Linked DNA regions of Arabidopsis thaliana. The protein of the gene in region 4 interacts with the protein of the main gene of each other region in a pairwise test. Each region holds a gene or a part of one and is shown on either strand. Other genes may lie near its edges.

Region 1 (5,058 bases), on a different chromosome or scaffold from region 4:
ATAAGACAAAGCCATTAAGGCATACATGAATCACACCCATGTGTGCAGTCTTGCCATGTTAATTTGCTCAATCCGGTTAGACTAAGGCTGAGCAATTTCATCCACCATAGCTTTACTATCACCAGCTCTATGCAGACTGTTTATTCATGAAACTGATAAAAATCCGGCTACACTATAGGTTTACTATCACCAGCTCTATGCAGACTGTTTATCCATGAACACAAAAGATTCACTACTTGAGAGAGACATAAGAAACAAAATAAGAGAGCTTGAACAAAGAAAACAATCATGGGACATGACTCATCCAAAACGATCATTTATGGCAAAGTAATCATACTTTGACATAGATTCATTCTACTCAGTAGTGGTGCCTAAGATTTGCTTTGGAGATCAATTAGAAGACCTAGAAAACAACATTTATTTTTTCAAAAGCAGAAACCATATGAAACCAAGAGGACTTTTACAGGTAGCTAACCTCTTCTTGAAACCTCTGGAGCATGAGCCGCTTCTGCTCAAGATCAGTGGCGTAAGGATCTAACTGACCCTGTCCCAGAATCGGTGATGCCCATGTTTGCCCTTTCTCCCTCTTCTGCAGGGTAATGTGCATTATATCATCCTCTGCCAAATCAAACATAACAATCCAGATTAGCAATCAGTGCCAGACTATGAACCTAAAAAAACTATGCCAGTAACTTACATACGCTGATAATATAACCCAAAATATACTGTACATTCCATCATCCCTCCATTAGTCTCAAATTTTCCACATTCCAAACTATATGTCCCACTATTTATACCAAACTCAGATCACATTTCCAGGTTCAGTTTATCCTCTCTAGCAATAGTGAACGGGTCTAAAAACAGAAACCTAACCATCAAAAACAAGCACCCAATACAGACACAAAAACAAAAAATGGAGTACCTAGAGTCCAGAACGAGCAATCAGTCTTCACAGGAGCACTAAGATCGTGCTGAAAATTGACAAAATTTAGACAATTGAATCGAGTTATATATACCACATCGAATAACTCAGATTTATGAGACAAACGGATCAAAAACATTGAAAGATAGCGAAAGAAACTGACATTGAGATAGGGAGGGTTGCCTTTGATGCCAACTTCGATATGTTTCGACTGGATTTTGCAGTGGAATGACTTTGGATGAACATTTGGCGGCAAAGTTATGTACATGTTCACTTCTTCCAGGGTTTGATCCCACTCAAATACCTTTTGACCTATAACCATCGGAAATCGAAGAACATTCAAACCAAATCTCGTGAAATGGAATCAGCTGAAATTAGAGAAATAGAGCGAGGGGATAGAGAAAGCGAGAAACCATTGTGAATGAAATCGTGTCTCTTCTCTGGCGCAAGCTTCTCCGCCATATCTAGGGTTTTCTTCTCCGTTCCCGGCGAAATCGATCACCGTTGATAGTAGTTGTTCTGGTTCCTTTTCAATTCGTCTCAACATTGGAGGACAGGCATTTATGATTCAGTCCTTTCATAATCATGTATTTTCTTTTAGGGTTCTTAGTTTTAGTTATTTACGCTTAGATCCCTTTTCTTGAGGTACACTCCGTTTCTAACTTGGAAGTCAAAACTCCATGCCGTTTTATTGAAGTTCTTCCAAGTTCCAAGAAACATTTTTTTGTTGTCGCCAAAGTAGAACACTCTTTCACAATTCCACAGAAAATTTAAAGATGAGAAGTGGGTCTATTCAATGCATAGAATACGGAGGAAAACAAAATTGAAAGAAGAGTAATGTGTAGGTCTACCACAAAACATGGTCCATTTTAAAGCCTTAAACGTAGCCAAGTGTGTTAGTTTTTTAGCTTTTCAATGTCCTTTGGGACAAGAGATACACTGTACCCATTTCCCCCTTTCAGTTTCTTCAACGTAGACAGGGTAGTTATTCAATTTTCTCATATTAAAACGTTATACGTGATCAAAGACTTTGACTTATAACAGAAGAATAATTTTGATCAATCAAAAAGTTGTTTGATAATGTAAATTATGGTCTTCCATTTCGCTAATCCAAAAACTTACTTTCTCAATTCCATTGGTCAACTTGTTTCATTTGATGAAATTCGATATGATACATGTTTGGCCACTGCATGAATCGAACGACAGTTAGATCTCAAATCGGTTTGGTTTCGGGTACATGAGTTCTAGTTATGAAAAAACAATCATCACGACTCACGAGTGTATATATAACTAGTTCATTGAATAAGTTGTCGGCTAATATTCGGTTTTGACCGGTGAGACTGTTAACTAAAATGAATACTATTAGAGTAGAGACCCACTTGAAGTGTACTATAATTTTAAAAGCCGGCCAGCAACCACGGGCCAGACTCTGCCTCTCGCAAAATCTTGACCGTCCGATTGAGAACCGGACAAAATGCTGTACACGACGGTTCCTTAAAAAACTATTGTAACAACTGTTGCTTTCGTAACACATTCCAGAACCACAAATTAAATTGATAAACACGTTAACATGAAACCCAAAACACTGTTTGACTTTAGTCTATTTTATCTTAAACAAATGTTGCTTCGTTATGCTACATCGTAGCTGTGTTCAAAGCAACTTGCTTTGGATAATTTATCATAGCCTTTAAAACAGGTAAGCATCGAGTCTTGAAACTATCCTAAAACACGTTGAATCAGTCCCACAAACTTTTTTTGTCTTTACTCTAAGCGTTTATATGAAGCTTTGATCAAAGTCCATAACTCACTAATAATCACAATGGGGTCTGAAAATGGCAGCTTGATGAGAAGAAACGAAGTAGACGAGAATGTAGCGTTAATCTTTGGCGTCACCGGGCTTGTGGGTCGAGAGATTGTTAAGACGCTATTAATGTCTAAACCAGGATGGAGAATCTACGGCGTAGCGCGTAACCCGGAGATCAATTCCATGACGAAGATGTACAACTTCATCTCCTGCGATCTGCTTAACGCATCTGAGACTAAACAGAGGTTGTCTCCATTACAAGACATCGTGAGTCACGTGTTTTGGGTCACGTGGTCTGGTGAGTTTCCATTGGATACCGACGAATGTTGCGTACAGAACAAGACGATGCTGATGAACGCTTTGGACGCGATTCTCCCAAACGCTAAGAGGTTAAAGCATTTCTCGCTTCAAACGGGGATGAAGCATTATGTGTCTTTGGTGGAAGAGACAATGGCTCGTGGAGAAGGTTCGAGTTTGTATTATTACAGCGAGGAGTGTCCAAGAAAGAGCTCTGGGAAGAATTTCTACTATGTTTTGGAGGACTTGCTGAAGGAGAAGATCACTCGTAGTTCCGTTGTTTGGTCGGTTCAAAGACCTGGTTTGCTAATGGGAAGCTCTTCAAGAACTCTGTACAACTTCATGGGAAGTCTTTGTGTTTATGGAGCGATGTGTAAGTATTTGAATCTTCCTTTTGTGTTTGGAGGAACAAGAGAATGTTGGGAAGAGAGTTACATAGATGGCTCTGATTCGAATTTAGTCGCGGAGCAGCATATATTCGCTGCAACAAGTGGGAAAGTACGCGAGAAAGGGGAAGCTTTTAACGCCATTAATGGAGTAGGGTTTACTTGGAAGGAGATTTGGCCGGAAATAGGGAAGAAACTTGGTGTACAAGTTAACGAAACAACCATGTTTGATGAAGGTTTCTGGTTTGGGAGAGAGATGGTTGAGAGAAAACATGTGTGGGATGAGATTGTTGTGAAGGAGAAGCTTGTTAGGACAGAGATTGAGGATTTGGCGAATTGGTATTTCTTGGATGCTCTGTTTAGATGTCCGTTTAAGCTTCTTGGGAAAAGAGAAAAAGTAGATAGGTTTGGGTTTAAGAGGAAATATAGAACCCTAGATTCGGTTTTGTATTGGATTGATGTGATGAGAGATGAAAAACTCATTCCTTTGTAACACATGTTGTACATTAGCAATGTAGATCACGGTATATATGTACTTGATCAATAATCCTCATGTAAGTTTTGTTTGTTTGAATAATGAGCTTTCCACAAATCCTTTTAAGCTAAATCATTAAACATAAATCCTTTGCAGTGAAATGCAATAGCTAAGTTAGATTCCAAGCAGTGGATAACCAAAATTCCAGTCAGGTTTCGTAAACGCGTCCGAACAAATGTGAATGTATTGTGACATATAATAAGATGAAGTAGTGGCAGACCATACTTGAGACAACAACAAGATGATTAGCTGGACTCAGTTTGTTTATCGATGTTATTGCATACGTAGTACAGATGAGTTTTGGCTGTCAAGATGACGTAAGAGTAAAGACATTTCATCCCATGTCTCCACTCTTCACTCAGCGAGATCAAGAATCATTCCAACAAGTAAGAGAAAACAGGGGAGAGTAAAAACTGAAGAGAAGATTCAAGATTGATCCATTCCACATACTTACTACAATTCATACTTAAGAATCACCAAAAAGGATTTCAAGAAAATGCCATACAAAAGCCGATCATGCGCCCCCAAAAGAAAAAAGAAGCAAAATTGCCGCCAAAGGCAAAACAGGGGATGCTACTAAAACAGACTCTGTACAAGAAAACCTACAAAAACAGAGTAAGTTAGTTATACATAACGACCTTCTTCACTCATATTAAGTTTTTGTCTTCTTGGTTGTTTTTGCTTGATACTTATTGACTTTTATGTTTTTGCCTTTAGAGCTAAATATGTCATCTTCATCGTCTTCATCATCGCTGCCACGCTTTTGCTTCTTTCCTTTCTTCTTGCTGTCACCATAACATATGATAATCTTCTTATCCTTCTTCTCCTCAACCATCTCTGTATTATCCTGTGGCCTCCAAATGAACAGCGACCTGCAAAACCGGATTTCGAAACCAAATCCACACCAATGAGAGATCAGTCAATAAGAAAAAGTGTCCACCAACGGTTACTATTGTAGCTGTTGGGTAATGAATCCCGAACCTTGAACTTCCTGAAGCTAAAACATCATCGCGAGGATGCAACTTGTTGACTGGAGTAATAGTTGTGATGTTTGGATCCATAACCTCTGCAACCAATTGTCCATTGCTTGCATCAATGAAATCTATTGGGTGAA
Region 2 (4,323 bases), on a different chromosome or scaffold from region 4:
TACGTGGCTATTAGCAAAGAACAAAAAAAAAAAAAAAAAAGTTACACAACGCTTCGTCGAAATCCAAAAATGAATGAAAATTTTAACTCAAACAAATTTAATATAAAATCAAATAAAATCCGTAATAAATAGAACTAGACTAGGTTTAATTTCCAGTTTCATTATTATGCTTCCATTAATACTCAGCCAATTCCGAAATGTTCCCATATGAATAGGACTGATCTTTAATTTAAAAGACGAACGGAATTAGAACAAACATGACTATTCAACTTTCGTGGTAGAAAAGAGAATAAGATTCATATGATCGTACGATGATATTTCGAATAATCTCCAAAGGGAATAACATTTTCTTCTTTTACCTCATAGAAATCTGTTTTTTAAAATAAACTTTACACTGTCATTAACGTTTTTTTTTTAATAATCGGGACTAGGTCTTTGTCGACCGAAGTCCAAACTAATTCCTGAGCCAAGTATTAATATGAGTTTTATTGCCACTGAAAGCGTCGACGAGTGGCTAAGCGGGATAGTTAGATAATTCCACGTTTAAGGAAATTCTTTTCATGGACTAGACCAACAATGAGAATCCGCTATCACTTGGTTAAGAGAGACTCTTCAAACTTTGCAAGCATTAGATGCAATTTCCATCATAACGATTGAAGAGACCATTCCACGAAGGAGATGGGCCTTACACTAAACTTATCCACACATCTTTTCTAATGTTCGTTACTAGTATTGCTGTCAAAACATGCCTTTTTGGACTAAACATTAGTTGATACACATACAACATCTATTTTTGAGGGTCTATAGGGTCTGATTTTTTAAAGAAAACGTGTCCGTAGACAGAAACCTCCTTAGTTTGGATCTTTCCCATGTGATCATTATTAAAAACGACGAACGGAATTAGAACAAACATATCTATTCAACTTTCGGTAGTGATGGTACTAAGAGAATAAGATTCAGATCATAAAAAAGGGAACTATATACAAGAAATTTTTTCTATATATAGAAAACATCTGAAAGATTAAAACACTTATCCATATCAAAGAAAACTAACACAAGTAGATAAATATAAAGAAAAATGCTTGATAAGCTTATTATTGGGGTTGCCGGAGGGATTACCGGAGGGATTCTTGGAACGGTCGATGGGTTTGCCAAAGGGGTCGGGATATGGCCCAATAATTATCAGAGCACCGGTCGCTTCGAGAACAACAATATGACGAGTCCGGGAAACTACGGCAATGGTAATGGCGGTGCAGTGAAGGCATCCGAGAACTCCGGCGGCCGCCGCCAGAAAGACAGGGAGTAAAGGACTCCTGACCACACCCAGTAATGATTATGTATCCAAAATAATAAATGTATACGATGTATGTATAAGATGGACATGTTTCAGTATCTTACCAAAAATATAGGAGACTTTTAATGAAAAGTCTTCTTGTTTAATTTTATGAACTTTATGATTAATAAAAGGAGTGTGTTTAATAAAAGTGATGTATATTAACAGTTATTTCCACACGTGAAAAGATTGAATTTATTTGCACACAATTAAGTTTGAAAAGTAACGTTATGGTGTAACGAAAACCCTAATGAATTTATAAGTTACGTAGTGCAGTAGGATATGTCGTTTTAATGTTTCTGGTTCATCTAAATAATTAGATAATTTATTTTGCATTTATCGACCAAAACTTTAAGCTCATAGATTTGATTCAAACAAGTAATTCATTTACTAAATTAGACGGATCATAGGATTTTTTGTTGATTCGATTAGCCTTTTCAGTTATGCAATGTTCTTGAGGGAAACACAAACACAGATAGCATATTTGGCGACAGCGTCTGCCTTTTGAATTGGAAAGACGAGAAATATAACTAAAGGAGATAGAACGGAAACAACCTTGAAGCTGTCGAATTTCTTGAAGAATTCCATGAATGTCATTGATAGAGTTGTCTACACTTTTATCTCAAAAATCAAACGAACCTTACACAAGCAATGTTTTTTTTTTTTCCAATAATCAGAGTCTTCCTAAATCCAAAGTCTAGACTAATTCTTGAACTTAATACTAATAGAAATGTTTTCTTGCAATTTACAGCGTTATGGAGTCTAAGTTGAATAGTTAGATTATTACACTTTTATAAGGCTTTATTTTCTGGCCTAGAACAACGACCTGAATCTTCAACAAGGGGAAACTTTAAGTCCACTTCCACTTGGAGAGTCTTCAAACTTTGCAAGCATTAGATGCAATTTCCATCATAGCGATTGAAGGACCATTTGAGTGACAAGTAAGACGGGTCGTGTATGTCCATAGTTATCTTGTTTTCCACTTTCTTTCCATCTACTTCACGAATTTTTGTGATCGTTGAATTTTTTAAGACGAACGGAATAAGAACAAACATGTCTATTCAATTTTACGTATGGTGGTGGTAAAAAAAAAAGAATAAGATTCTTATCATATCATGGATATCATATGACGAATAATTGCCATAACAAACAAACTTAAGTGAACACTACGAGAATTGTATAAATATATACAAACATCTGAAAGATTGTAAGCTCTTATTCATATCAAAGAAAAACAACAGAATTAATATATAAAAATGCTTGATACGCTTATTGGAGGGATTGTCGGAGGGATTGCCGGAGCGATTATTGGAACGGTGGATGGGTTCGCCAGAGGGATCGGAATATGCCCCGATAGTTACCAGAGCTGCACTCGTACCGACTGCGAGGAGCACAAAAAGAAGCTCCCGACCAACCTTAGCCGTAACGGCGGTGCAGCAGCAGTGAAGGCTAAGGAGAACGGCCGCCGTCGCCGCCAGAAAGACAGGGAGTAGAGGACTCTAGACTACCCAAATATTCTGACGGTTCAAATAAGAAAGTAACGATTATGTACTCCCCATATAATAAATGTGTAAGATGTATCATGTATTTGTGTGACGGACTTTTAATGAAAATAAATGTTCTTGTTTAAGTTTTTTTTTTTTTTTGTCAGCGTTCTTGTTTAAGTTAATAAATCATTTATCATATTACATAAGAAATATATATTAGATCGGTATATAAATTGACTTTAATATATATTTATCGACAAAATTTGAAATGAATATTTAGGAAGTATATTATATCTCATTGAACTATATATATAGAAAGAGAAAACGAAAAGACTATTTACGAAAATGATTGGATTAAGATATGTTGTTTCACGATGAAGACAAGGGAAAAAAACCCTCAAGTTACATGCTTTAATGTTCATTACATGAATCTACTTGTTAAAATAACATAAGTACAAGTGAGTTAAGGAACAAAGAAAACTAATTACGTTAACTAGAAAAGATGGGTTTGTGCGTAGACTTGTATTGGAATTTTCATGTGGATCACAACTATATAGGTTTTCACAACAACTGGTTATTTAGTTGTCTTCCTCTTATATACACTAAATATATTATCTCTCACATTGCTCAATAAAATTAATATATGTTAAAATTCGAAAACATAACACCAAAAAGTATGTAATATCAGTAATTTTTTTAAAAAAATACAAATAACACTAAAATCATGTATTTATTTTTGTTATATATGTGCAGTTTATAAAATTATTATTATATTATTAGAAACTTAGATTTACATTAAAATTTTCAAAAAATAATTATTTTTCTATCTTATCGAATTGTATTAGTTTTTATATTACTCCTACTCGAAACTAGAAAATATAAATAATTTATAACATTTTTTTTTTATTTGTCCAGTATTAGTTTATAAAAGTTTTACTATATATCATAATCTCTTGAATCCTTCTTATCATATGAAGGAGAATATCTTCGATATTTTTTAGTGGTCCTAGGTCAACATGACGAATCCTCATCAAGGCAAAACCACAAGTTATCTCTCCAAGCAAGATGCAATTTCTATCATAACGATTGAAGAGACCATTCCACAACGGAGATAATTAGCCTTACATTGAACTTATACACACATATTTTCCTACTTTCTTTACTAAAGTTGTAGTCAAAACACGCCATATCATCCATTGTTAAAGGTATCTAGTTCGATCGAATAACCATCAGTGACTCTCGTTTACCGTTTTCTGTTTGTTCATGGGCATATATACCTTTAGCCAACTATCCTCTAAATACAACAATAGACATGTCACATATGCGTCAATATATTTAATGGTCCAATGAACATTGGCCAAACCTGGAATAATCTAAAGGAATAAAAGGTATCGGATTCAACGTAATCCTTAAGACTCCAATACTAAACATGCGTAGATATAATCCCTCTGATGATTAATTTAAATGCGTACTGAGTAATAAGAAGATATCAAACAAGAATTT
Region 3 (6,107 bases), on a different chromosome or scaffold from region 4:
TTTGGAAGATTTAATGGAGTTGAAATACCAAAAAACTTAAATAGAGAAACTTATACATTTGTGCTTTCTCTGATTTGCAGGCGAAGAAGGTGCAGCAGGTGGATCTGGAAGAATTAAAATAAGAAAAGATTATGTTTGATGCAGTGAACAAAACGAATGTTAATGTGTTTAGTTACTTTATGTTGGATTCCCTTTGTGTTTAAATCCAACATAACTAAATGATATATTCATAGCAGAGGAACTATCTTGCTCCAGATATATAGAATTAGTTTACTAATTGTAAGGAGACACATTTCATTGGAAAGAAATGGGGACAAGTAATGTTCCAATTCCTCATCATCACCCAACATGTTGCCATATTTAGATCCGAGTATGTTTTTTGACGCATCACTTTGGCATATCATTTCTTTATCCACCCCCATTTAGATTCTATTAAAGGAATCTCCAATGGCTGAAACTTCAGAGATGGTAAAACTAAGTTTTGAGACTTTTGATACCTGAAGATGTTTGTCTACCTCCACAAAAAAGTTTGGATTTGTCTTTCGCACATTTTCTTAAATACGGTTTCACTATTATAATGATATAAATTGATAGGCCTTGGTGAAATAAATCACTAAAAATATTGTAATAATTAACATATACTGTACTATGTTTTCGAGTATTATTTAGATTTGCAACGCACAAAAAGAAATTAGTTGATAACTTAATCTAGTCTTCTGAATCTTCTCGGTTAATGTCATCGAGGATTACAATGAGAGAAACTATAAAAGCAAAGTCAACATTCGGATAGACAGTAACCGAAAAATTACTCTTCCCAATTAATATGCTTTGTGCCGTATGTTTCTTGTGCATCTGAAAAAAACAACAAAACAACAACAATGACTCAATTAACACGATCATATAACTAGCTAGTCCGGTTTATACAATTTACAGACAATTTGATCAGTGTAATTACCTGAGCAACAATGGCATCAGATTTGCCGGCGTAGACGACACAAGACCGGTCGATCCAACTTCCTTTAACATGGAAGTCGCAAATCTTCATTTCTTTATTATGAGCCAAAAAGATGTCTAGTTTTGGCTTCATTATTTGAATCATTGAAGATCGTTTCAATGTGTATAATAGATCACTTTGGTCTGTACTCTTCCCTCTATATACTAGCCACCTATCATGCAAGCTCACCTTCTACAATTTTTATGTTATAAGAAAAAAAAGTTGTGGATCAGATTTTATTGGATGATCTATGACGATTTAACATACTCGAATGAGTGATGATGATTTTGATATTATTTACAATTAGTTGATAGACGTATTGAAAAAGTGTACCTCCATGCAAGTTATAAGAGCATGTTTGTGTATATATGATTTGCATAATGAAATTTTTTTTTTGTATCACCATGAAAAAATTGTGCCTCTCCATGCAAGTTATAAAGAATTGTAGTTGATAGACGTATACTTACATTTTCTCTCAAAGTCAAGATTGGAGTATCGTATGCGTCCAATAAAATCCTTTTGTCGCTGATGCTAAACAAAGGTTCCTTGACTTTGAAAAGGAGATTGCCGTTAACGTCCGTGACGGCGAAGTTACCATCGGTTAAAGTCATCACCTTCCGTACGATTCCCAACTCGATAGGGTACGGTGCACAGAAATTAGGGCTAACGATCGCCATCTTTTTGAAGATCTCTCTCTGTTTTTTTTTTCTCTTTTACGATTCTTGTATAAGGTGGAGATTTGTGTTCGTTTCTCAATCTTTTTAGTTATTTATAATTAGGATATTCCAAGTATTGTGTGAAACAAATCTTCGTGTTTTTAATTTTGTGTTTTTGGCTATATATGTTTTGTTTATTTTTAGAACTTATCTTATTTTAAATCTGCTAGCCAAGTTGCAAGCTGCAAACACGTTAGCGTTACTACACTTTTTTTTTTTGGTTATATAAAAAAAAATAGTTTGATGGAAAAAAAATATTATAAATTGAGGAAATATCTTCTTTTTTGCCAGAAAAGGAAATTAGAAGAAACGTAAAATTAGAAGGTAACTTTTGGTAGGATTAATATGACTTAATTAAAAATGATATGAATGGAGTATGAAAAAGAGAATGATTTTGTTGATAAAATATACTGTCATATAAAATTGGAAAATCCATGCATATTCAATCAAAGTTTTTCTTTTCTTTTTCAATATACCTTTTTAATCCGCTTTAAATACTTCATTATATTTAATTCCTCACATCTTGATCACGGATTATAAATCAAATTTATGTAAAATTATCTTCTCTAAAAAAATAAAAATAAAAATTGAGACATATACATGAGTAATAAAATCCAAACCTTTAATAACAGGGCCAGGACGTTAACGACGGTTAAGTTAGATAGACAAGATTTTGAGCTCGGCCCATTTATCAAAAAGCCCAAATAAGAAGACACACACACGTAAAGAAATCAGTGAGACAAGGTCAAAGCTTCTTTATTGTCTCGGGAAAAACAACAAGGAATTAAACAAATATTAAAAAAACTGGGAACAAAAAAATCCAGTAGAAGTCGTGGGGTTCAATGTTCATGTAAATTGATTGACACGCCCCCTAAACCCAAACCTCTCTTTTTTTTTGTTTCTTATATTATAGAGAAAAAGAGCTTTTTCCCGGAAAGTTGTTCTCATCTTGGAAAATCAAATCTCGGAAACGCAGTCTTCAGCTAAATCATGAGCAACGAGTAGTAAGTGTTTCTCTCCTCCTTGAGAGCCATTCTTTCGTTTTCGATTTTACTCACACCGATTTCGATTTTTTGTTGTTGTAGCGATTATCTGTTCAAGCTTTTGTTGATCGGTGACTCCTCTGTTGGAAAATCGTGTCTTCTTCTCCGATTCGCTGTGAGTTTGACTTGATTTTGATTCTTAATTGATTCCGTCGTCGAGAATTAGCTCGTGTTAGGTTTCTTCTTTTGTACTGTTTCGTGATTTTGGGATTTGTTGCTATTTCTAGGATGATGCTTACATTGACAGCTACATAAGCACCATTGGTGTTGACTTCGTAAGTTCATTCTTTGACCTTGTTTACATACATGATCGAGATTGTTTTATCCCAAACTTACTTATAATGTGGTTGGTTTTGCAGAAAATTAGGACGATTGAGCAGGATGGGAAGACGATTAAGCTGCAAATTGTGAGTTTTCAATTATATAATATGTTTTGGATGATTGTGTTTACTCAATTTTACTGTTGCTGCTCTCTTTTAGTGGGATACTGCTGGACAGGAGCGTTTCAGGACCATCACTAGCAGCTATTACAGAGGAGCTCATGGAATCATTGTGAGCAATCTTTATATTCGCTTTCTTACTTGCTTTTTTTTGGCTTACCTAGACTAGTGTTATGTCCCTATTTCCATTTCTCATTTTAAGTGGTTTAGTCTGAGATTGGTATTGTAATGTTGGAATATGAATCATTTTAATGTTGTAATCCACCCTTTAAGTGATGAACCTTAATGATGATAATTGCAACAGATTGTTTATGACTGTACTGAGATGGAAAGCTTCAACAATGTGAAGCAGTGGTTGAGTGAGATCGATAGATATGCCAATGAGAGTGTTTGCAAGCTTTTAATCGGTAACAAGAATGATATGGTTGAAAGCAAAGTTGTTTCCACCGAAACTGGAAGGGTAAGCTCACATCCCTAGTTAAGTTCCCAGCAATTTTTCCATTTATGATTTTGCTTCTATCTTATGCATAACATCCTTTGCATGGTACTTTCCCCTTTCCTCATTTGATCATTTCATGGTTTCGCATATCTTTAACCATGTGATGATATTACAACCATTGAGATTGTTATACCAGAATTTACGGCTATGAATGTAGATGATCTCTGACCAAATTCCCAAAGCTAGATGATCTGAATCCACCGAGTAGAAATTGCTTATTTTTGCAGCAGCTGTTACTCCTGATACAACTGTGAATTGGTTTTCTTACATTTCATCTACTCAAAATCACTGCAGGCCTTAGCAGATGAGCTTGGAATTCCCTTTCTTGAGACCAGTGCCAAGGATTCTATTAACGTTGAACAGGCATTCTTAACTATTGCTGGCGAGATAAAAAAGAAGTATGTTCACTATCTTTAATCTTTCGCCATAATTTTTTCTGCGAAGATTTAACATAGATTAGGTTTAGTAAACTTGTTCTATTACTATATTCCTTGATCACCATTATATACATCAAATCATTCTCTGTGTTTTTTTCTGCTGCAAAGCATCTTGATTCTCCACTGTTTTCATGAAATAAACTATTCATGTAAAGTTTCAAATCCGAAGTGTGCTATTCTAGACTTGATGACTAATGGAAAGCAAATCAACAAACTAACTGCTGTATCCTTGTAGCTTCCTCAAGCTTGTGTACTTAACTTCTGTTGATAGATTTTCCATATGGTTGATATCTTGTATCGACATTTGCTGATTCAGTCTAGTTTATGTAACATGGAGAATTGAGTCTAATCATATCGTAACTCATTTTCTTTGCAGAATGGGAAGCCAAACGAATGCAAACAAGACATCTGGTCCTGGAACTGTCCAAATGAAAGGTCAGCCAATCCAACAGAACAATGGCGGTTGCTGCGGTCAGTAGTTTAAAAAATGTTTTAATCAAAACTATCTGAGACTCTTTTTTTACTTCCTTTTTAACTAAGTGTTGTGAAAACCAATGGCTGTTTAAAACAACTAAGAAATGTAATATTCCATGTCGCTGTGTCTTGAATAAGCTATGGTGTTAGTTGCAAGATACTTCTCTTTAATATAGTTCAGTCTTGACTTTGACCACACAGGGATATGCAAGCAACTCATGGTTTTGAATTTTGATTGTGTATATATATTAAAAATAGTGATAGATATTCGTTGCTGTATAGGCTGGACCATGTTCATTACCATAGATATTTAAAACTTGCAGCTAAGTCCATAGAATGAGGAAAAGCAAAAACAACATATGAGAGATAAATCTCAATAATGTAAATGCTGAATTATATATACTTCAAAGATACGAGTCCAAATCAAATTCTTCCATTTTCTTACGCTAAAGTATACGGATTTCCAAAAGAAGATTTGTTCTATTTCGTTTACAACGCAATTCTAGTTTATAATAACTCATCATATACTCATGTGGTTTCAAAATACCCCAAATGCATGTTTTTCTAGAAACAATCAGTTTTCTGATTTTGATGAAATCAATCATACCTAGATTCATTCATTTACTCCCACAATTTTAGAAGAAAATCTCATTCCTGCACATCCTTATTTAAAAAATAAAATAAATCAAAAGTGATCTTATTTGTTTGTGTTTAAGTTTTATAAATTCATTTTTTTTTGTTTGAATGATAAAAAGACAGACAGGAAAGATCTCATGACAACGACAGTTAACCGACCTGGTCCCTCTAAAATAAAGTCTGACACAGACTCTCAAACTTTGTCAAATCCAATTCTTATTATTATTGGTAATGAGACTTTTTCTTCACATTCTCCAGATATGTATATTCCCGAGAAAATGAGGGAAAGTATCTTCTAATCGGGAAAAACATCTCCACGTTCCTTGCCCGTCTCGTAGGTTACGCATCAGCAGCTGGGTTTTGTCTGGCAAAACTATAACCAAAAGCTTCCTTTCTTATAAATTGCCTTACGTTTTAAGGTGTTCTCTTCTCACTTCTTCCCCATGATTCATCTTGACTCCACAAATTCAGGGCAATCTTTGATTCTCTTTGGTCTTTGATTTGAGGATTAATTTGTTTTCTAAAGGTGTCTGCTGATTCAATTGAGTATGGAGAAGAAACGAGATGTTTCTGAGTACAGAGAGAGACTTAATGAGACCTTGTCGTCTCCTGAGCTCATTAATGAGCAAACTCTTAAAACCCTAGTCAGAAAACAACTCAATGAAGGTTTTTCTTGTTGTTGATTTGCTATATACTCTTTAATTTTGCCTTTGCTACAATGTTTTTTTTTTATGTTTTCACAGAGTGTAGTGTTGATATATTGGATCAAAGAGTAGCTGCTTTATCCAGTACAATTGAGAAGCTTAGGAGTGTATCAACAAAGGATCAAGACTTGTCTAAATCAAGCACCGAGGCATCTTATGGTGAT
Region 4 (5,584 bases):
TAAAAGAATGGTCCCTTGTGGTGGGAATATAGCGGCAGAAGCAGTCCAAGAATGTAGTGGCAGTAGTGCAGAAGTGTGAACAGAAGTGGGCATTTCATCCAAAACTATCTATATGTGTATATTATCTCATGATCCAATGAATAAAAATTTAGTATGATATAGATTTAATATGGATGTAAATCTTGTCTATATAGAGGAGTTTACCTTCTGCATTTTTGCCTGGTTTTAATATATCGAATTTGGTATTAACTTTAAAAATTACATTATCATATATGCCTTATGCAATGATCAAATGCCCAAAATTATAAATAAATTATCAATGTTTTAGTTATTTTTTCAGCTTTGTTTTTCAACTTTCCGCTTGAATTCCTCCTTTTTTCTTTTAACTTTTAGTTTTTTTGTCTAACCATGAATAGAATTCATTAAGACTTCAGCCAATTAAAAGGCCTTTTTCTAGTTTTCTAATTTAAACGTTGCACGACCACAGATTTATAGATTAGAGAAAGAGAAAGCATAGTACTAAATTTTGAACTGATTAAAACAATAATGTTTATGTCTTTTTAACTAACATTGCTTAGTGGAGAAGATGAGCTTTTGCTTTCAACTAATATTATCTCTCGCTCAAAAGCTTTTGTTTTCAAATAAATATCAGAAACAATACGTGTAATGTAAGGTCAAATGTTCCTGCTCCATTGTTTCCGTATTTTCAGGATTTGGGTTTCCCGCTCACTAAGCATTATACCCCAACATCAAGATAAACAAATAGATCAACAATTATAATATTTTCTTACCACTATCGTACACAAAATAAACAAACAAACACTTGGAGTTTCCATTTTCAAGTGGAAGTTTATTTAGAATGCTTGTCAAAGATCTTCAGCGTGATATACATGTAGAGCCTTTCGTTGTATTTCAATTATGATAAGACTACAAGTGTACAACATTTCTATGGTATATATAGCGTGAGTACGTAGAAACGTCTATCATGAATCTTTGTACATGTAAGACGACCCGTCGTGAAACAACCATGAACCGTTTATGTGCGGCATGGTGTTAGATTTTCGCATCTTGAATGATAAAATTCATTGTTTATCTTGTCATATGACAAAAAGAATTATAATTTTTCCATTGATTTGATTATCGTCGATGTGTAACCACTCAAATTCAGATCTAAATATTATATGTTATTGATAAAAATAATGATCAAGACATAATTATTCATCATTGATAATCTTTAACTAAAGATGGTCCTAAACACACTGCTTTTGACTGATGGTCCCAGTTTAAAGAGCCGAACAATCTTTTATCGGGCTTTACTTGGCCAACCAAAACCTATGTTGCATATACTTTTCTCAGCAGTAATACAGGACAGCAAAATACACACGTCTTATTGATATTGTGATCACTTGATGATCTTAATCGGGACATGATCTAAACGTTTTTTTTTTTTTGCAAAAACAAGACCTAATCAGCTTAAGTATTTGTTACAATGTCTATACCCTAAAGAGTTTCACATTGTCACCTATCAGAACTTCGCTAACACATTTTGGGAAACGAATCAGTCGACACCATCCTGCGTGGGAATTAGGAAACTCATTTTGACATTTTCTTGGTACAATGGATTTTTTCGTTTTGGTTCGGGAATCACCAGCAACTAAAAAAAAAAGAACATCAATTGGGTTCTTCACTAAACATTTCCTTCACGATCATTTATCTTTTCGAGGGATTTCATCAAATCTATGTTAAAGAGTATACCAAAAAACGCTTCGACATCTTTCTTTGTACACCGACAAGTATTGTTCTCTCTCCCAGATTGGCTACGAAAGCTTATCTCCCGAAAACTCTTAGCGCAGATGAGGTGAGAGCAGAACTGAGGAACCTCATGCCTGATGATCCACCAGGGAAGTAGGATATACAGTAGTAAACCAGCGCAAGAACCTGTCCATTAGCACAAAAAGAAACAGATACTGGAGATTATGAGATTCAGCAGAATGCGCGGATTTTGCGAGCAGAAGTTCTCAAAACCTCTACAAGTATATCTTTCATACAGTCCAAATAGATAACGGGTGAAGACCCAGATAAGTATCACCACTTGTTCGAGAGTCTAATGTTTGTTGCTAAACTCTGGAGATTCGAAAGGTTCCATCTCAAGACCGATTCAACAATGAGGTGAGTTACTATATGATCTTAAATACTTTGGTGAGGTCCAATATTGTTTTCCACTTGCTCATAGCAATATCTCATTTTGAAAAACTTAAACTCATAATTAAAGGGAATATCCTAAGAATTGGAAGATGAAATGTTTAGTACCTGTAACACTGAGAAGAGCACCGAGAGAATGTAGCTGTGGAGAACCATTGATACGTATATGGTACCAACCATGGTAGCAATGAAACCTAGGGTTGAAGGAAGCCTCTGGAGAAGTACACAAGATATTCAAAAGAGAGGAAGGAAATCACTCTTGGATTTAAGGCATGACAGACACACAATAGAACAGTGTAACATACCTCCATCGAAGACATGTGTGCGAGCTGATTTTTAGGGCCACGAAGTGCGAAGAAGGATCCAATGATGAATCCACATCCAAGGGTGAAACAAATGGCAAATTTCTGTGGCATAAGCACCATGACTGGAAGAAACATTGTGAAGGCAATGAAGATGAAGAAAACACCACTTGCGAGAAGTAAACCGAAATACATGAGCGCTTTTCCTGAAGGCATACTACTTGTTGCTGACTGCAAGCTCCCTGGAATATCTCTAACTCCTTTTGAAACCCTGTAGTCATCAAATTCAGGTACATTGCAAAAACAACAGAAGAACAAGAATTTTATCAGAGAAACAAAAGAAGATTCCTGAAAACAACTACAAATATAAATAACTCAATAGACTTATTCACTAACTCTAAATCCATTGGTATGCAAAACTCATAAATGCATTTCCCAAACTATCAAATCTCACAATCAACAAAGTAAATCTCAATAGCTCAGATTCACTAACACCCACTTCTCACTACCACTAATAAACCTCATCTTCTTAGATTCAGTCACGGAATAAACATTATGAGATGACTAATTGCAATCTACTTACACACTGAAGGTGCCCGAAACAGTGTCATTGGCAGATCTAACGGCGGATTCGATATCAAAGCCGAAGCTTCCGCCGCTTTCCTCGAAATCTCTAGAGGCTGCGTAAGAATTCCAATCCGCAAGCAGAGACGAACCCGATTGCTGCTGCTGATCTACGGTGCTACTCCCGCCCATCGAAAACCATCCTTGTGACATTTTTTGGGTTTCGGGATCTTCAAGGAAAGCAAACAATGATAGACCAGAACGCCGGCGATCGGATATTTTTCGTTGACGTTTTAAGGTTTTTTGGTAAACGCCGCAGCTAAAGAATTACTTACTCGGGAAGAAGAAGACGGGAGAACCGATGCTGTAACGTCGATAGAAGTCAACGGCGTCGTTTCTTAAGTAACTTAGCTTTACCATTTTTTTCCCCGAGTAAAACGAGTAATTTGGAAACTTCTTGAGTGAATTTAAAAATACTGGTATGGTAATTCCCTTATTAATCCAAGCCTTAAAGCAGAACTCATCAAGATATGTAGTTCCAAGCAGTTGTTGTTACAGATTTACAATAGAAAATAAATAATCTCACAGCCAAAATACTTCATTAACAGTCAGTGACAGGACAAATATCATAATACTTTCAAGAGCTGGATTTCAAAGACCAGAGGCTCGTTCGCATGCGATAGAAGGCTGCGTCGTGGTCCAAACTGCATCCACAAACACATATGAGAGATCATTTGAGACATACGTATGTAGCAAGTTCATTGTGGAAGATGAAGAGTAAAGATCTGACTACCTCCTCGGGGATTGGCTTCAATGTCTCGTTTATGTACCCTACTGATGGAGGTATCAGTGCCCTACGCTTCCCTTCATCCGCAAAAGACCATTATGTGCGAGTCATTAGAAATATGAGATTACATCAAAAGACCAAAATCTTATTTGTTGTTTCAAGTTTTTACCTCCAGCTTTCATGCCCACCAAGACTTCTTTCAAGCCCTCAATTACCTGTCATGCGAAGCAGTTTGTTAGTACAGGCCATGATTGGAACGCTATGTTATATGCAAGGTTGAGTGCAAATCAAAGTACGTCGTTTTCATCGAGAATAAGTTTGACAGGAGAGCTTTCACCACTGAATTGATCCACCGTGCTGAATCAAGAAACTATGAGAGTTAAAAAGAGGATCAGATTTGGATGAAAGAAACTATCAAGGCATCTAAAGTTTTGCATGAAATCTAACCTATGAACGAAATATCCATTTGCACGCCGACACACATAGTTTAGTTCGACCAGGTCCCCTTCATGAGCTTCTCGTCCTTCACCTTCAATTATCTCTAAAACAAGACTTCCATGATTAGCAAATAAAACGAACAATATTACAAGTTTTTGAATGTTATCATCAGAAGGAACAACAGACAGAATTCTAGCGAAAGATTAGTACCTTGATACCTCACGCCACTCGGGAGTTTCAATGTCCTGCATTCTTCGATCGCCAACCAAAAAAACAATTAAAAACTAGGATGAGGAACTAAGTCCATGCAACAAGTAGAACAATCCAATAAGCTCAAAGAAGCTTTCACATATTCCTCACTTCTTTGTGTACATGGCTTATCAATGCAATAAACAAGCACATTAAACAGGAAGCCATAAAATATTGCAATTCATAAACTAGTAAAAGATTATTTGAAAAGCAGACCAGAAATATAATCACAAAATCATTTCAAACATGGACACAACTACAAATTTTCCTCAATGCTAGCATCTACAATTATCATCGACGTTCTAACGCAATTTCCTGAATCAAAATCAAAATGAAAAAGGAGTTTAGATAGCTCAGAGAAGTACCAATTTTACCTGATCACTTCAGGTTCCTTCATCTGAGGAACCGGCGCCGCTAAACTAGGAAAATCCAGAAGCGTCAAGACCGAACCAAATCCAGACAGCTGCATAAACATCCTTCTGGGTACATGTACAGCCGAGACCGAAGAGAATCCAACACGACTAATCCTAGAAACGCTGTTCCTTGATTTTCCCGCGCTGATAAATAAAATAAAAAAGGTTCAATCTCCAGCGACCATACTCTCAAATCGACGGAGATAGAAAATTATGAGATTCCAAAACATACGAATCTACCTTAAGGCCATGGATGATCCAACGAAAGGAAGAGAAATCTCCATAGCCATCGCCATCGCCGTCGTCGTCAACAGTCTTCTTCTTCTTCTTCTATGGATAGTGGATAAGAAAAAGAGTGAGAGATGAGATTAGCTACGGAGCAACCCACCACTAAACTTAGTGGACCTGTGGGACCCACACTGCTTATGAATTTTGTTGTGAAAAAAATACGCGCTACGGTAACGCGTGAGGATCTATTTTTCCTTCTTTTTTTGTTTATTTTGTTTATTTTGTTAAATACATCCGGTTCGATCAAACCGGCGATTTCAATTTTGACTTGAGAATTCAGATTAGAGCATAGCCGATCATTGGTGTTGAGTTCTTCTCTCTTTTTTTTCTAGCAGTTTGCC

Evidence for each region.
Region 1: the proteins of AT4G26550 (region 4) and AT5G58750 interact in a two-hybrid assay, tested with the Arabidopsis thaliana proteins (one large-scale study listed by BioGRID).
Region 2: the proteins of AT4G26550 (region 4) and AT1G67860 interact in a two-hybrid assay, tested with the Arabidopsis thaliana proteins (one large-scale study listed by BioGRID).
Region 3: the proteins of AT4G26550 (region 4) and ATFP8 interact in a two-hybrid assay, tested with the Arabidopsis thaliana proteins (one large-scale study listed by BioGRID).

The regions. Positions count from the first base shown.
Region 1 is NC_003076.8:23,726,145-23,731,202, forward strand, and holds AT5G58750 (NAD(P)-binding Rossmann-fold superfamily protein), read left to right. Parts: upstream 1-2,443; 5' UTR 2,444-2,741; coding exon 2,742-3,902; 3' UTR 3,903-3,998; downstream 3,999-5,058. Other genes in the region: AT5G58740 (HSP20-like chaperones superfamily protein), read right to left, coding at 476-618, 923-971, 1,086-1,234, 1,336-1,384; DDB2 (damaged DNA binding 2), read right to left, coding at 4,597-4,816, 4,926-5,058.
Region 2 is NC_003070.9:25,443,443-25,447,765, reverse strand, and holds AT1G67860 (uncharacterized protein), read left to right. Parts: upstream 1-2,408; 5' UTR 2,409-2,589; coding exon 2,590-2,826; 3' UTR 2,827-3,014; downstream 3,015-4,323. Other genes in the region: AT1G67865 (uncharacterized protein), read left to right, coding at 1,079-1,306.
Region 3 is NC_003074.8:3,707,991-3,714,097, reverse strand, and holds ATFP8 (Ras-related small GTP-binding family protein), read left to right. Parts: upstream 1-2,480; 5' UTR 2,481-2,700; coding exon 2,701-2,714; intron 2,715-2,795; coding exon 2,796-2,868; intron 2,869-2,980; coding exon 2,981-3,028; intron 3,029-3,112; coding exon 3,113-3,160; intron 3,161-3,233; coding exon 3,234-3,305; intron 3,306-3,497; coding exon 3,498-3,653; intron 3,654-3,986; coding exon 3,987-4,090; intron 4,091-4,505; coding exon 4,506-4,608; 3' UTR 4,609-4,967; downstream 4,968-6,107. Other genes in the region: AT3G11745 (uncharacterized protein), read left to right, coding at 81-122; AT3G11740 (LURP-one-like protein (DUF567)), read right to left, coding at 709-852, 956-1,186, 1,462-1,671; AT3G11720 (Polyketide cyclase/dehydrase and lipid transport superfamily protein), read left to right, coding at 5,377-5,417, 5,498-5,596, 5,766-5,905, 5,983-6,107. UniProt on the Arabidopsis thaliana protein: Protein transport. Regulator of membrane traffic from the Golgi apparatus towards the endoplasmic reticulum (ER).
Region 4 is NC_003075.7:13,400,928-13,406,511, forward strand, and holds AT4G26550 (Got1/Sft2-like vescicle transport protein family), read right to left. Parts: upstream 3,459-5,584; 5' UTR 3,282-3,458; coding exon 3,088-3,281; exon of another isoform or gene 2,912-3,087; coding exon of another isoform or gene 2,901-2,911; intron 2,776-2,900; coding exon 2,508-2,775; intron 2,416-2,507; coding exon 2,311-2,415; intron 1,939-2,310; coding exon 1,828-1,938; 3' UTR 1,452-1,827; downstream 1-1,451. Other genes in the region: AT4G26555 (FKBP-like peptidyl-prolyl cis-trans isomerase family protein), read right to left, coding at 3,695-3,772, 3,862-3,932, 4,025-4,070, 4,152-4,212, 4,303-4,396, 4,504-4,538, 4,917-5,099, 5,196-5,251.